Linked DNA regions of Drosophila melanogaster. The protein of the gene in region 1 interacts with the protein of each later gene in a pairwise test. Each region holds a gene or a part of one and is shown in the gene's direction. Other genes may lie near its edges.

Evidence for each region.
Region 2: the proteins of ND-ASHI (region 1) and CG42709 interact in a two-hybrid assay, tested with the Drosophila melanogaster proteins (one large-scale study listed by BioGRID).

What each region holds. Positions count from the first base shown.
Region 1 is NC_004354.4:6,676,762-6,681,610, reverse strand, and holds ND-ASHI (NADH dehydrogenase (ubiquinone) ASHI subunit), read left to right. Parts: upstream 1-2,492; 5' UTR 2,493-2,994; coding exon of another isoform or gene 2,995-3,081; exon of another isoform or gene 3,082-3,187; intron 3,188-3,350; exon of another isoform or gene 3,351-3,413; 5' UTR 3,414-3,526; coding exon 3,527-3,611; intron 3,612-3,729; coding exon 3,730-3,959; intron 3,960-4,035; coding exon 4,036-4,248; 3' UTR 4,249-4,349; downstream 4,350-4,849. Other genes in the region: Fum1 (fumarase 1), read right to left, coding at 1-174, 239-1,043, 1,113-1,313, 1,654-1,785, 2,995-3,081; Mcm6 (minichromosome maintenance 6), read right to left, coding at 4,652-4,849.
Region 2 is NT_037436.4:12,788,422-12,796,191, forward strand, and holds CG42709 (uncharacterized protein), read left to right. Parts: upstream 1-1,770; 5' UTR 1,771-1,961; intron 1,962-2,796; exon of another isoform or gene 2,797-3,013; 5' UTR 3,014-3,159; coding exon 3,160-3,212; intron 3,213-5,394; coding exon 5,395-5,579; intron 5,580-5,640; coding exon 5,641-5,894; intron 5,895-5,959; coding exon 5,960-6,235; intron 6,236-6,375; coding exon 6,376-6,667; intron 6,668-6,741; coding exon 6,742-6,903; intron 6,904-7,036; coding exon 7,037-7,191; 3' UTR 7,192-7,663; downstream 7,664-7,770. Other genes in the region: Atg1 (Autophagy-related 1), read right to left, coding at 120-207.

The sequences.
Region 1 (4,849 bases):
GTGTGGTGCCATTCTTGTGCGCCGTCTTTGCAATTTTCGCAGCCTTGTCGTAACCAATGTGCGGATTCAGAGCGGTCACCAGCATGAGCGACTCGTTCATGATCTTGGCAATATTCTCGCGGTTCGCCTGGATGCCATTCACACAGTTGGCAGTGAAGGTCCTGCTGCCATCAGCTACAAAAAGGAATAGATTCGATTGATTTGGCGTTCCACCAAGGGTGGGTAATAGGTAGCTTACACAATAGCCGAATGGAGCGCAGCACATTGGACACGATCAGGGGCTTGAATACATTCAGCTCGAAGTGCCCATTGGATCCACCGATGGTCACCGCCACCTGATTGCCCATCACCTGGGCGGAGAGCATTGTCAGCGACTCGCATTGCGTGGGATTCACCTTGCCGGGCATGATGGAGCTACCTGGCTCGTTCTCCGGTAGCGAGAGCTCACCCAAACCGCAACGCGGTCCGGAGCCAAGGAAACGAATATCGTTGGCAATCTTCATCAGGCTAACGGCGATCGTGTTGAGCACACCATGCACCTCCACCATGGCATCGCGGGCAGCCAGTGCCTCGAACTTGTTGGGCGCGGTAACGAAGGGCAGGCTGGTCAGCTCGGCGATCTTTGCAGCGCACTTCTCGGCGAATCCCTTGCGTGTGTTCAGACCCGTACCCACAGCAGTGCCGCCCAGAGCCAGCTCATAGACGCGCGGCAGACAGGCATCGATGCGCTCCTGGGCGTAGGCCAATTGCTGGGCATAGCCGCTGAACTCTTGGCCCAGCGTCAATGGCACCGCATCCATCGTATGCGTGCGTCCGATCTTGATAATGTCCTTGAACTCCTCCGACTTGGCACGCAGCGCATCGTGCAGCGTCTTAATCGCCGGCTTAAGGTTGTTGTTCAGCTCCAGCGCCACCGAGATGTGAATGGCGGTGGGGAAGGTATCGTTGGAGCTCTGCGATTTGTTCACATGATCGTTGGGATGCACGGGCGTCTTGGAGCCCAGTTTGCCGCCCAGCAGCTCAATGGCACGATTGCTGATCACCTTGAGAGTTAGAGAGTTAGAGGAGATTTGAGAATAGTGCAAATGAAACAAATGACCGCTCATGCCCACCTCATTCACATTCATGTTGCTCTGCGTGCCCGAGCCCGTCTGCCAGATGACCAGCGGGAAGTGGTCGTCGTATAGCTTGCCAGAGATCACATCGTCGGCCGCCTTCGAGATCGCCTCGCTAACCTTGCTGTCCAGTCCGAACTCCTTGTTCACCTCGGCGGCGGCCTTCTTCAGGATGCCCATGGCCTGGACCACGGGTTTCTGGCGGGGATTAACGAGAGTTTTAGTTGCTTTCAATGTGTTTTCTTCTTATTTTTTACTTTACGCAACATACTTGTGTGTTATGTTAATGTAGTTAATACATTTTTTAGACTTTAACTTTCTATAGACTCTGAATTACAATGAACAAACTCATTGAACTAGCATTCACCATTTGTTCTGCTTTCTGTAATAGAAGCTTAATTTAAGCCATATTTTACTTAGTAATTAGCTAGACCTTGCTGCTTTTTGAACCTTCAATGCTGACTTTTAAATACTTTCGAAAGATTTACGTGAGAATTATATGTATACGTAGATGGAGGCAGTGGGGGGCACTACTTACGGGCATCCGTTCGGTGGCTCCGCCGATGGGGAAATTGATCTGGGATCGCATCGTTTGGGCGCCATAGTACTTATCCGCGGGCACCTTCAGTTCGCCAAAGGTGTCGCTCTCCACGCGAAACTCCTGGGAGGCCTGTCGATGCGAATGAATCCGATAAGAATGGCTATAATTATCAGTAAGTAAACACAGGGGCAGACCATTTCAGATGCAGATATGACAGATAGTAAGTAAGTGAAGCCAAATTGAGACTATGGCAATCAGAGTGAACAAATCAGAGGACGACCACTCGACGACGGCTGCTGCTCGATGTTAACTGAGGCGTGCTCGGGCATTGAAAGGCAGAGGCGATAAGCTAGGGGGATTCAAAACCAAAAAGCCGAGTGTACAACGAACAGATTCTTGAAAGAGCGCTCTCAACGAGCGAACTTCCCGCAGAATTGGTGGGAGGTGTTGAATGCCCGAGCACTGGGCGCTGAATATGAAAGACCCAACTTGGGCATGGGGTGCACACAGCAGGGGGCACGAAAGTAGTGCGAGGATCTCGAACTATATTTGTGTATATATGTATATTGTATGCATAATAATTGCAATAGCAATTCTATAAAAACAGACTGATTCGAACTTTTGCATTTCCAGTGCTATTCATGTGACCAGCGCTGTTCCTCGGGATTTATGGGTGGAATTTACGCCGGACTGTAGCTCTACTATCTAGTGTCTTATATACATATGTTTTATATGCAGCATTATCTGAATAATCGGTAGTGTATTACAGTGGTCGTTCATTCATCTAGTACCATATATAATTAACCGGTTTTAATTCAATTGCCGAAAAAAAAAAACAAGAATTCGCTGACTAGCACAATTTCTTGAATTACAACTCGTTTCGCGAGTTTATGGTTCTCTCTTTTCCCTTTTTTTTTCAACGCCGTGAGTTTGTTTTGTTTTCAATCATGTGATTTGAGTTTTGAGTGCGAAATGAAAATAAAAAACGTTTGCGAAAATTGAGTGAAAAAATCAATGCGACGGCTTCCAATTGGAGTCGCGCGCCAATTGGAGTTTCGTCCACAAGTGGTCGCAGTGGTGTGCCAATTGGAACGTCCGTTCCAGCGCCTGGAAGTCGCTCGCCTCCGCTTTCCATTGTGTAATGATTACGAAACGCCGGCATTTGTGCACTTTTCATTGGCATTTCTGCTCGCCGCGCCTTGTTTACAATCAAAAAAATAACATATTTTGGAGTTATTAGCCGCTGCATGGGCGAATCTAGCATTACATAAGGCAAAATATTTTTGCCATCTCGCTACAAAATATATATCCAATTTGCACAGCACTTGGAATCCTTACCAGACGCAAACTTCCAATGGCGGCCCAGGGTTTCGTCATTTGTTGAACGCCGCGAAGCGTGGAGCGTTGCAATAATGGTAGCACCATCTCTATGCTTATTCCTTAGTCGGTAATTAATAAATAAGTTTGCAAGCAAGTGATCTTTCACGGACGAGCCCACCACAACAACACCAACAACAACAAAAAACAACAACAGCACCTCGATGCGCGGGTGAGAGCTATCGGACCATCGATTGTTCTTATCGACTTTGTAACGATTGCTGCCTAAGTTCATAAAAATTGAGAAACAAAAATCCTAAACATTTTTAAGAAACACCTAGTTACCTTAGTACTAACTGTAAATTCCTATTCCATAGCTAACAAATTTAAAATCTGTTGATAGTTCTATTTGTTTTTTTTGAAACTACAACTATCGATAGCAGACCGTTGCGGCACTGTATCCTATCGTTTGTGTGCCATCCGCAGGCGAACAGCTGTTTTTTCGGGAATCGTAACTTCAGAGGAACTTTTTTTTAGTGGAAACAAGCCTGCAATGTCGGCGTTTGTGAAAACCGTGTGCTTGGCCCAAAAGCTGTGCGCCGCCAATCCCGTCGTGGCTCGCCAGGCGATCCGCAGCAGTAAGTGTGAATCGGGGCTGCGCTGGCAACAGTGCAACCTGCCCCACTGTTTTGTTTACGTAACTTTTGCATGCACCGAATGGCTACAAATTCGAATTTCTCGCCATTTACGTTTTAGTGGCTGGCTGGAATAAGGACTACAAGCCGGGTCCGTATCCACAGACGGAGAAGGAGCGCCTGGCGGCGGCCAAGAAGTACTATCTGTTGCCGGAGGAGTACAAACCGTATGCGGACGATGGTCTGGGCTACGGAGATTATCCCAAATTGGGCTACGGTCTGGGTGTGGAGGCCAAGGACTCGTACTATCCCTGGGACTATCCGGAGCACAAGCGCAACCAACACGAGCCCGTAAGCGCCAACATCAACGGCTAGCAGCAGCTGCTGCATAAAAAAAGAGTCAAACCCTGATCCATTTCCATTGCAGATCTCGGCGGATCATGATCTGTACAGCGAGGATCGCTGGTCGCAGGCCGAACCGCCACGCTACAGCAATGCGTACTACTTTGCCTGCTTCCTGGGCGTGATGTCCGGCTGCCTGGCACTCTACTACTGGCTGGATGACAAGAAGATGTACCGCCCCGTGGCCGCCAAGCAATATCCCAGCCCTGGCGTCAAGCACTACACCTTCGAGAAGTAGGATTGTATCTATCACGCTCTCGATCGCACTGCGCGCCTCGTTTTTATTTCATAGGCAATTAATCAACGCATCTATACAATTAAAATGAATGGAAACCAAGCTAAAACATGGATTTGCTATCATTTTGACTGCGCATGTTGGGTTGCATTTTTCATTCCGTTCTTAATGAGCAGCAAAAAACGAAATGAATCTTGAGATGAACGTTTATTTCGGCGAAAACATGAATGATTTGGAACGTAACTGAACCAAGAAATCCTTAATGGATTTCAATAATGTCTCTAAACTATAAACTTACTGCCTAAATACATTGTTTGTTTGGGTGAGCAAAAAAAAGCAAGACGCGGAAACAGAAACTTAACCAGCTAGATTTAGGGCATAGTAATAAACTGTTGATCGGCTGGGATCACTCCACAACGTAGTTGGGATGCACCACCAGCAGGGGATCGTCCTCCTCCACGAAATCCTTTTGTACCTGAATTCTCGGCTTCAGCGTGGATGTCTTGAGCGGAATAATGACCTGATCGTGATAGATGAGGCGATCGATAAGCTTCTCGATGAGATTTTTGCGAGAAATTAACTCATCCTCGGATTCGATTTGGTC
Region 2 (7,770 bases), on another chromosome or scaffold:
TCTGATATTTAATTATAATACATTTCGTTGTTCTAAAGTAATATTAATGTTACAATTTATATTGATCTTTGACAATTATTAGTTAGGGCTACCCCTTATATAGGATTTTCGAATCTCACCTAGTTGCACGAGGAAGAGTCTAACGGTATCCTCGCTGAGCGTCCCCTTGACACTCAGATAATCCGCCAAGTCGCCGCCATTGCAATACTGTAAAGAGAAAGGATGAAGAGCGTGAGTGGAGCTGATTGGGAAATTAAATTAAGAGAGACCCCCACGAGTCAAGAGTTCAGCGCGCATATAAATCTTCTGGGACCCCAAAAGACCTCAAAAGCAGAATGCAACCCATGCAAACGAATTAAGTCCAATCAGTGCGAAAATGAAAGAGTCCCGAGATTTGATTCAGTCGGTCTTTCCATCTTTTAGCTTCCAGCTGCTCGCTCGACTTTTGTGCAAATCCCAGTCAATCATAGAAAACGGCAAGGTCAAAGCGAATATGATTTATGGCAATTTTCTGAATCAAGAACTGGAATTAGGGAAATATGTTTATGGATCAGCCCAGACAGCCAGCTGCTTTTCTTTTGTCGTTTGCCCAACAAAGGTTCTGTTCCGGTTTATGTCAGCAGATGCGGAGAAAGAGTTGGGGTAAAAATAAGCTATAGAATATTGAATATGCTAGGGGAATTTACACTTGGAATTTTAAATACACTTCCATGTAATCTTTAATCTTTGAAGTAAAGCACCAGTTAGGTTTTTTAAAAATGCCCGTTCACTGCAGTGATTTTTCCATACTCATTTGAGAATAATTAATAATTTTCTCTTTTAATATATAATATAATATAATATTATAATAATAAGCCATTGATAAAGTATATGATAGTGAATGCTAAACAAAAGGCAACAAAATGTTCAAATAAAATATAAACCTCTAAGCATTCGAAAACAGCAAAAAGGAATATCAGTTATCATGAAGAAGTTTTTGAAAAACTTGAAAATGAAAATAGAATATCCCGATATGGGAGAACTTTGTAAGCAGCCCTCGCTAAAATGTAAATGAAGAGAACGAACCCCTGTCTCTCCAAAATGCCGTTATATTTTTGGCCTGAGCAAGTTGCCTAAAAGGATTTGCGATTTTTGACCTTGAGGCCGCCAATCGAAGACATGACTATAGAATTCCACACGAACACAACCACCAAAAACCAACAAAAGTAATGTGCGCGGCGAACATTTTTATCCGCTTTTATGGATTTTTTGTTTTTCATGAGAAAATATATGGACCACTTACAGTTTAATGAGCAAACAAAGCAACATTAGGCAATTAAACAGCCAATTTGAAATGACAAAAGATTTCACTGCACTCGCTTTTTGTGAAATCGCTAAAATCGCCGAAGAGAAGCGAAGAGCGAAGAACATTAAACAAAAAGTCATTGACATGTAAAGTACATAAACATAAACATAAAAGTAAAAGTTTGAAGGAAATGGTGGAATACTCGCAACGAAGAGGGTTTTTCTTCCTCTGGGGCTTTTTAACAATTTCTAAATTATATGCAATGCCATTTCCCGGCAACAAGTGCCCATGAGTCAGCGATTTATTGAAAAATGCACTTGCGTAATTAATGGGCTTCTCTGTTTTTTCTTTCTTTTTTAAATATTATTTTGAAGAATCAAGTGTGAAGAGAGCGATTCGAAAGCTAAGAGAAGACTCTCTTCAGCCGCTCTATTTCAACTTACTCAATTTTTAAGCTCGCAACTTCTGCGGTTCCGTTCGCAGCTCATTCTCAAATCGACGGTGGCATGAGTCGCACGTTATCGCGCGACAACAAAAAGCCAAGTTAGCAAATCATTAAGTATAATTTAAACGCGATACTCCTCCATTCAGTAGAATTCGATGAGAAAACTCTCTAGTGTAATACCCAATTTAGTACATATATTATCGAGAAAAACGACGACGCGTGTCATTCGAAGTAAGCGCAGTGGACTAAAGGTCAACATATTCTAGGCGATAAAAAGAACGCTGCTGCTATACATTGTTCATCGCAATCACAACACAAAGACCTAGAAACGGGATTAAAACAAGAGTTTAACTTAGCACTCGGTGAAACAAATATTCAAACAAACTTTTCACTCAAATCACGTCCAATTTAATCGCTATGATTCAGCCAGCCAAGTGTTTCACATTTTTCCAGCAAATTATGTAAATAAACTGTGAAAGCTTCCCTTTTTTCATATCAAAAGGCGGGCCGACCGACTTATAAGTCAAGTCCAAAGCAAAGTTCATTACGATCGGCGTTAATTCTAATCAGACAAGTGTGTAATTAATTTTATTAATATTACAAGCCGTCCTAAAGATTTCTTTGTACTTCCAAATCTGCTGCTTAAGTTATTATGTTGAAAATATGGCAATTGAAATTTTAATTTCTAATGTGATGTAATGCTTATTAATTAAGATAGGATTACCCAAACCGATTAGCCTTTATTTACGGTGCTTAAAGTGTGAGTTTGCTCTTTCTGTTTTCATTGAAAACATGAATTCCATAATTGTTACTATTGATAATAATCGATTAGTAAGTCAGAAGTTGGTTAAAAGCTAAGCAGAAATCGCGAGGGTATGAGACAAAGCAATTAAATATTAAAAACTGATAAGATAACCACGGCTAAACATTAAACTTAACATGAGAGAGTTTGGAAGAGAGAGTGAGAGTAAAGAAAAAGAGATAATATTTGCCGCTCTTCGAAGCTCTCACACACACACCTGTTCAGTCAGTCGAACGGAATGGGAATTGTTGGCGAATTTTTGCTCATTCGAGAATCGGCAGCGAGTGGAAAAGTTTGTGCGAGCGGAGTGAAAAATAATTATTTTACTTTTGCCAAAAGTAAGCCGGCAAATGTAAATGGACATTAATCAACTTTGAAGCTGTAATTTCAAAGCAAAACAGATGAATATTAAAAGTGCAAAGTGAAACGAGAATAGCGGTGCAAAAATAGGCCCCTAACACCTAATAAAATCTATTTTCAGCTTGAAAATTTTCACATCAAGTTTGGCAAAAACGACGAAAATGCTATGAAAACCCTGAGATAAACACAAATACAAACAACACGACGCCTTGAAGACGCAGTGAAAACAAAGCTAAACAAATATCAGTAAACAAATAATTCATAATAATGCACGTGTACTACAAGTTTGGATTACTGCTGATATTTTTGCTAAGCGTGAGGTAAAAATCAAGTTGTAATAAATATTTACAGATCTCGATATGTGGAGAAATCACATTTGTTATTCTTATGGGGCTGGAAAATAAGTAATCCATTTATTTATAGAAATCAGTAGACCCTTTCCTAAAAACGAAAAACAGGGAAGACACGGGGCAAAGTTTCCGTTTAGCAACATTCGCAGTGATTAATTCACTAAAAACGAAATAACGACAGGTGAACCAGGGTAACGGGACTTTGACCCGCCCACAACTGAGATATCAATGCCAAATGGAATACTCACGCATGGGGTTATAAAAAAAAAACAGCAACATTTTATTGATAGTCCACGGCAACCGCTCTTAATTGCCGCCTTTAATATATATATAAGGTGCACGAATTTACACTCTACTTAATCATATCGCATAATCTGGTTCTGATAAAAATAATAACAATTCCCCGGTTGTCCGATAATTTATACCGTTATTGCTTATCAAATTGTTTGCTCAGCGTTTTGAATTTCTCAACCAATATCTCAAGCAATATTGCAAATGACATAGAAATTTATAACTGTCTCGATTTTCAGATTTTTCTTTTAATTTACAACTGAAACGAGGTTTAGACATTATCGATTATGTATAAATATTCTATATTCTTGCCCTAAAAAAAATCTTTTTAAATACTTCTGAGTTTTAAAACCTAAGATAAAATTCTTTAATCGTTCTTTGCATGTTAGTACTAGTATAATTTTCCCAGTGCACATAAGCCCATTTCTCTATTGATTTTTGGGCCTTTTTAAACCTTTTCAGCCACTCGAAATCAAATGTCAAAGTAGAGTGCTTTTAAGTGCGACGCTTCCAATTTTAGTCACTTCATTCAAGTAGTCAAGGGAATTACGTCGACTAGGTCGTCATGCTTAGTAACAGTTTAGAGATCTTTCGTAATACCCATTAACTTCGGCGAGCAGCTGAAGCTTGAAGGCAATTCGTAACGTTCGATAAATATATCTTTATTATCCGGTAGGACTATATACCAATTAATAGCTACATATCAGCACTTGCGGTTCAAGTACTCGACTCTATAAAGTCGTTCATTCTGTTCATTTTGGCACTTTTAAGGATTGACAAGGCTCCTCAGCAGCATTCATTGAAACTTCACTCAAAAGTCACGCAATTGAAGAGAACTCTACATGGCAGTCAAAAGACTCACTTGAACTACTCTACTAGCCAATTTACACCTTTTTTTCTAAAAGTAAATACAACCCACTAGAACTGAAGTCGCCGAATGCACGGATAACGAACGATTTAGAATCAGACAAAAAAAAAAATGAAGAGGGGTCACAAATGACAGCAAAAAAATAAAATAAATCTGAAAAAAGTGAGAGTAAACGAAATCGTAAACTAAAACCGGTCGAGTTGTCTCTTTTGCCATGAAGTAAACTGGTTTCATCTGTGCTTTTTACTGAGTAGCTACAGTACGTTTCGAAAATGTAAGGTCAGTTAACAGAAACAAATAAACAACTTTACAGACAATAAAAGTGCTTGAGTTACAATAAAAGAAATGTGTGCTTTCTTTATTTTCTTTAGCTTGAAAGTATATCTATTTGATTTTACTTTATTCTTAAAAAACGAAAGGCAAAATATATTTTACAATATATGCATAATCTAATGAATTGCATTAAGAAGCCTTGTATCATTGAATACTTTTAATTCATTTAAGGGCTATTGCTGTGACCACGACTGTAGCGAGAAATACTTTGTATGTAGGCTTGTTCGCACATGTGAGTGTATTCATTCATGTTCTTTCGCGGAGCAAACATAAACAATAGCCGTATAATGATAGTGGGGAAAACGAATGTTTCTGTGTGGCTATGGCGTGGTCATAACGATATGGGTCAAGAGCGTTTTCAGGACAAATTAGCTAGGTGTGTTCGCCTTCAAGACGTGAGTGATGTAAGCACGTACCGCTTAGAACCCACCGACAATCTAAAGCCAAATATTGACAATTTTGGGTATTTGGTAAAACCACTTAACGAATTCGTACAGTAATTGCTCTATCAGAAATGCGCATTCGTTTGACATATAATTGCCCTGCGTTTTTCTTCATAAGCAATGTGAATTCGTTTATAAGTCGTGGAAAAAACCAAATTGGTATATTGTTGGTTTATTCAGTCGAGACCGGAAAATAATTTAATGATTACTCTTACAGCATCAGCCACACAAATGCCGCTCCAGCGGGCAGTGAGGAGGCAAATCCCCTCGAGGACTTTAATTACGGCGATGATGACTACAGTGAAACAGCGACGGGCGAGGAATCGCCGGAGACAGCAGAAAATAGACTGATGCCACAATCATCCTCCACATCGACCACCACCACATTTCGACCAATATTTAGTGAGCATAACATAAATCTATATATTCCGAACTGAAAAGGCTAATGAATATCGTTTTGCAGATATACCACGACGCAGCAACCATGTCCTGGAGCCCAGTTGCCCGCGCAACTGCCTCTGCCTGGAGGACTTCAAGTTCGTTCAGTGTGCCAATGCCCATTTGACCCATGTACCCCTGGACATGCCCAAAACGGCGGCCATCATCGATCTGAGCCATAATGTGATTGCCGAACTGAGGCCGGAGGATTTTGCCAATCTGTCCAGGGCGGTGGAAATCAATTTGAATCACAATCTGATCAGCAGCATAGACAAGGATGTAAGTGCCCAGCTAATTCTACTAATTAGATAAATTGTAACTAATGTGCTTATTATCTATTGTAGGTCTTTCAGGGATCGGAGCGTTTGAAGCGCCTGCGGCTGGCCAACAACCGTCTAACCAAAATCGATCCCGACACCTTTGCGGCGGCCAAGGAACTAACGCTACTCGATTTGAGCAACAACACCATAACCCAGCGCCTGGACGGATCCTTCTTGAACCAGCCCGACTTGGTGGAGTTCAGCTGCGTCAACTGCAGCTGGACGGAACTGCCGGAACAGACGTTCCAGAACATGAGTGGCCTGGAGGTGTTGCGCTTGAACAAGAACGATTTTAAACAGGTAAGAATGGCGAGCCAAAAGTGCGATAGCACAAGTTATCGCTCTATCGATAGTTGGCGCAACTGAAGCCAAAACAGCTGTGTTTGCCATCGCGCAGTTGTCTATATAGTTGTCCCGCTCACGCTTTTCCATTCCGACAGCAAATCAATACGAAAGCTTTCTCGCCGCTAACAAAAATAATTAAACTGAAGCTGCCGGAACTGGAACAACAGAACATCGAGGAGCTGTGCAGCCTGCTGACCTCCATCGACACGATTAGCTTCCTCAACTACGACATCAGCTGCTACGAATTCGTACTGGGCACCCCCTTCAACGGCAGTCTCATCTATCCCACGGAGCCGCCGCTCAAGGGGATTACAAATCCGCCCATCGTCGCCAGCATCACCAGCACTGCAAAGCCAGTGACCGCCACACCCGCACCGCCCAGAAGTGGTGAGCTATTTCCCATGACTCGTAGATCATCTTGCTAACGTGTCTGTTGCTCACCTCCCATTGTTCGCATTTAGCCAATCGCAATCGGGGCAAAATGGACAACAGCACGGAGCTGGTCAAAGCCGGAATCCTGAGCTCCGAGACCAGCACAAGCGGAGTCAGCGTGGAGCCGCCTGCCGAGAGCCAGACCAATCAGGTGCAGATCTCCCAGGAGGCCATCAACACGCTGCTCATCTGTGAGTACAAACTGCGGTTTAAGGTTTATAACATCAACTATTTTAAGCATCTTGCTAAACAGTTATAGTTTGAGTTATACACCTTTTACTTGCGGTACAAAACCAGACTAATTTGTTCAATTTAATCCACTAGGCATCATGGTTCTGGCCGTGATTGGCATCGTCATCGGACTCATTTGCCGCCAGGATATTGGCGGCATCAAAACCAAATGCTGCCGCACTAGCAAACCAGAGCCAAAGGATCAGGTTCATCCCACTGAGGAGATACCACTGAATAAGCTAGCCTAAGAAAACTTTCCAAAACAAACCGAAACCAAACGATCGAAGATGAAAAGAGAATCCTATCCTTCTCCTCCAGTTTCGAGAACAAATTCCATTTTGACGGCATTTTTGATAGATTATAAATAGGTATATGTATATCACGTATGTATATGGCTAGTTAGTTAACTACTTTGACGCGGTATCTAGCCTAACTATATAGTCTCTCCTACAATGTTTCCCGCACAACAACTGAACCGAATCCGTTGTTAGATTCTAGTTGTTAGTCGGAGTAGGTTAAGCCGCCTAGTCGCTTAGCGTTCTGTTCTTTAGGGGGACTCGGTAAATGGGATCCCGCACCAAAACTCCTGGCACTGTTCTAGTTTTAGATCCCAAAATCAATTTTCATCGCAACACTTAAATTAATGTAAACCCATAGATACACTAGTTGTTAGCTTTAGACTTTTGCCAAAATACAATAAAAGTAATTATTGTACATAGTAAAAAAAAAGAAAACCATTGTTTTGAATTATGAAACCAAAAGATTAAAAAGATTACATCTGATAGACTTGATTATTTACCTATATACTCTCCTCATATCACATTCCT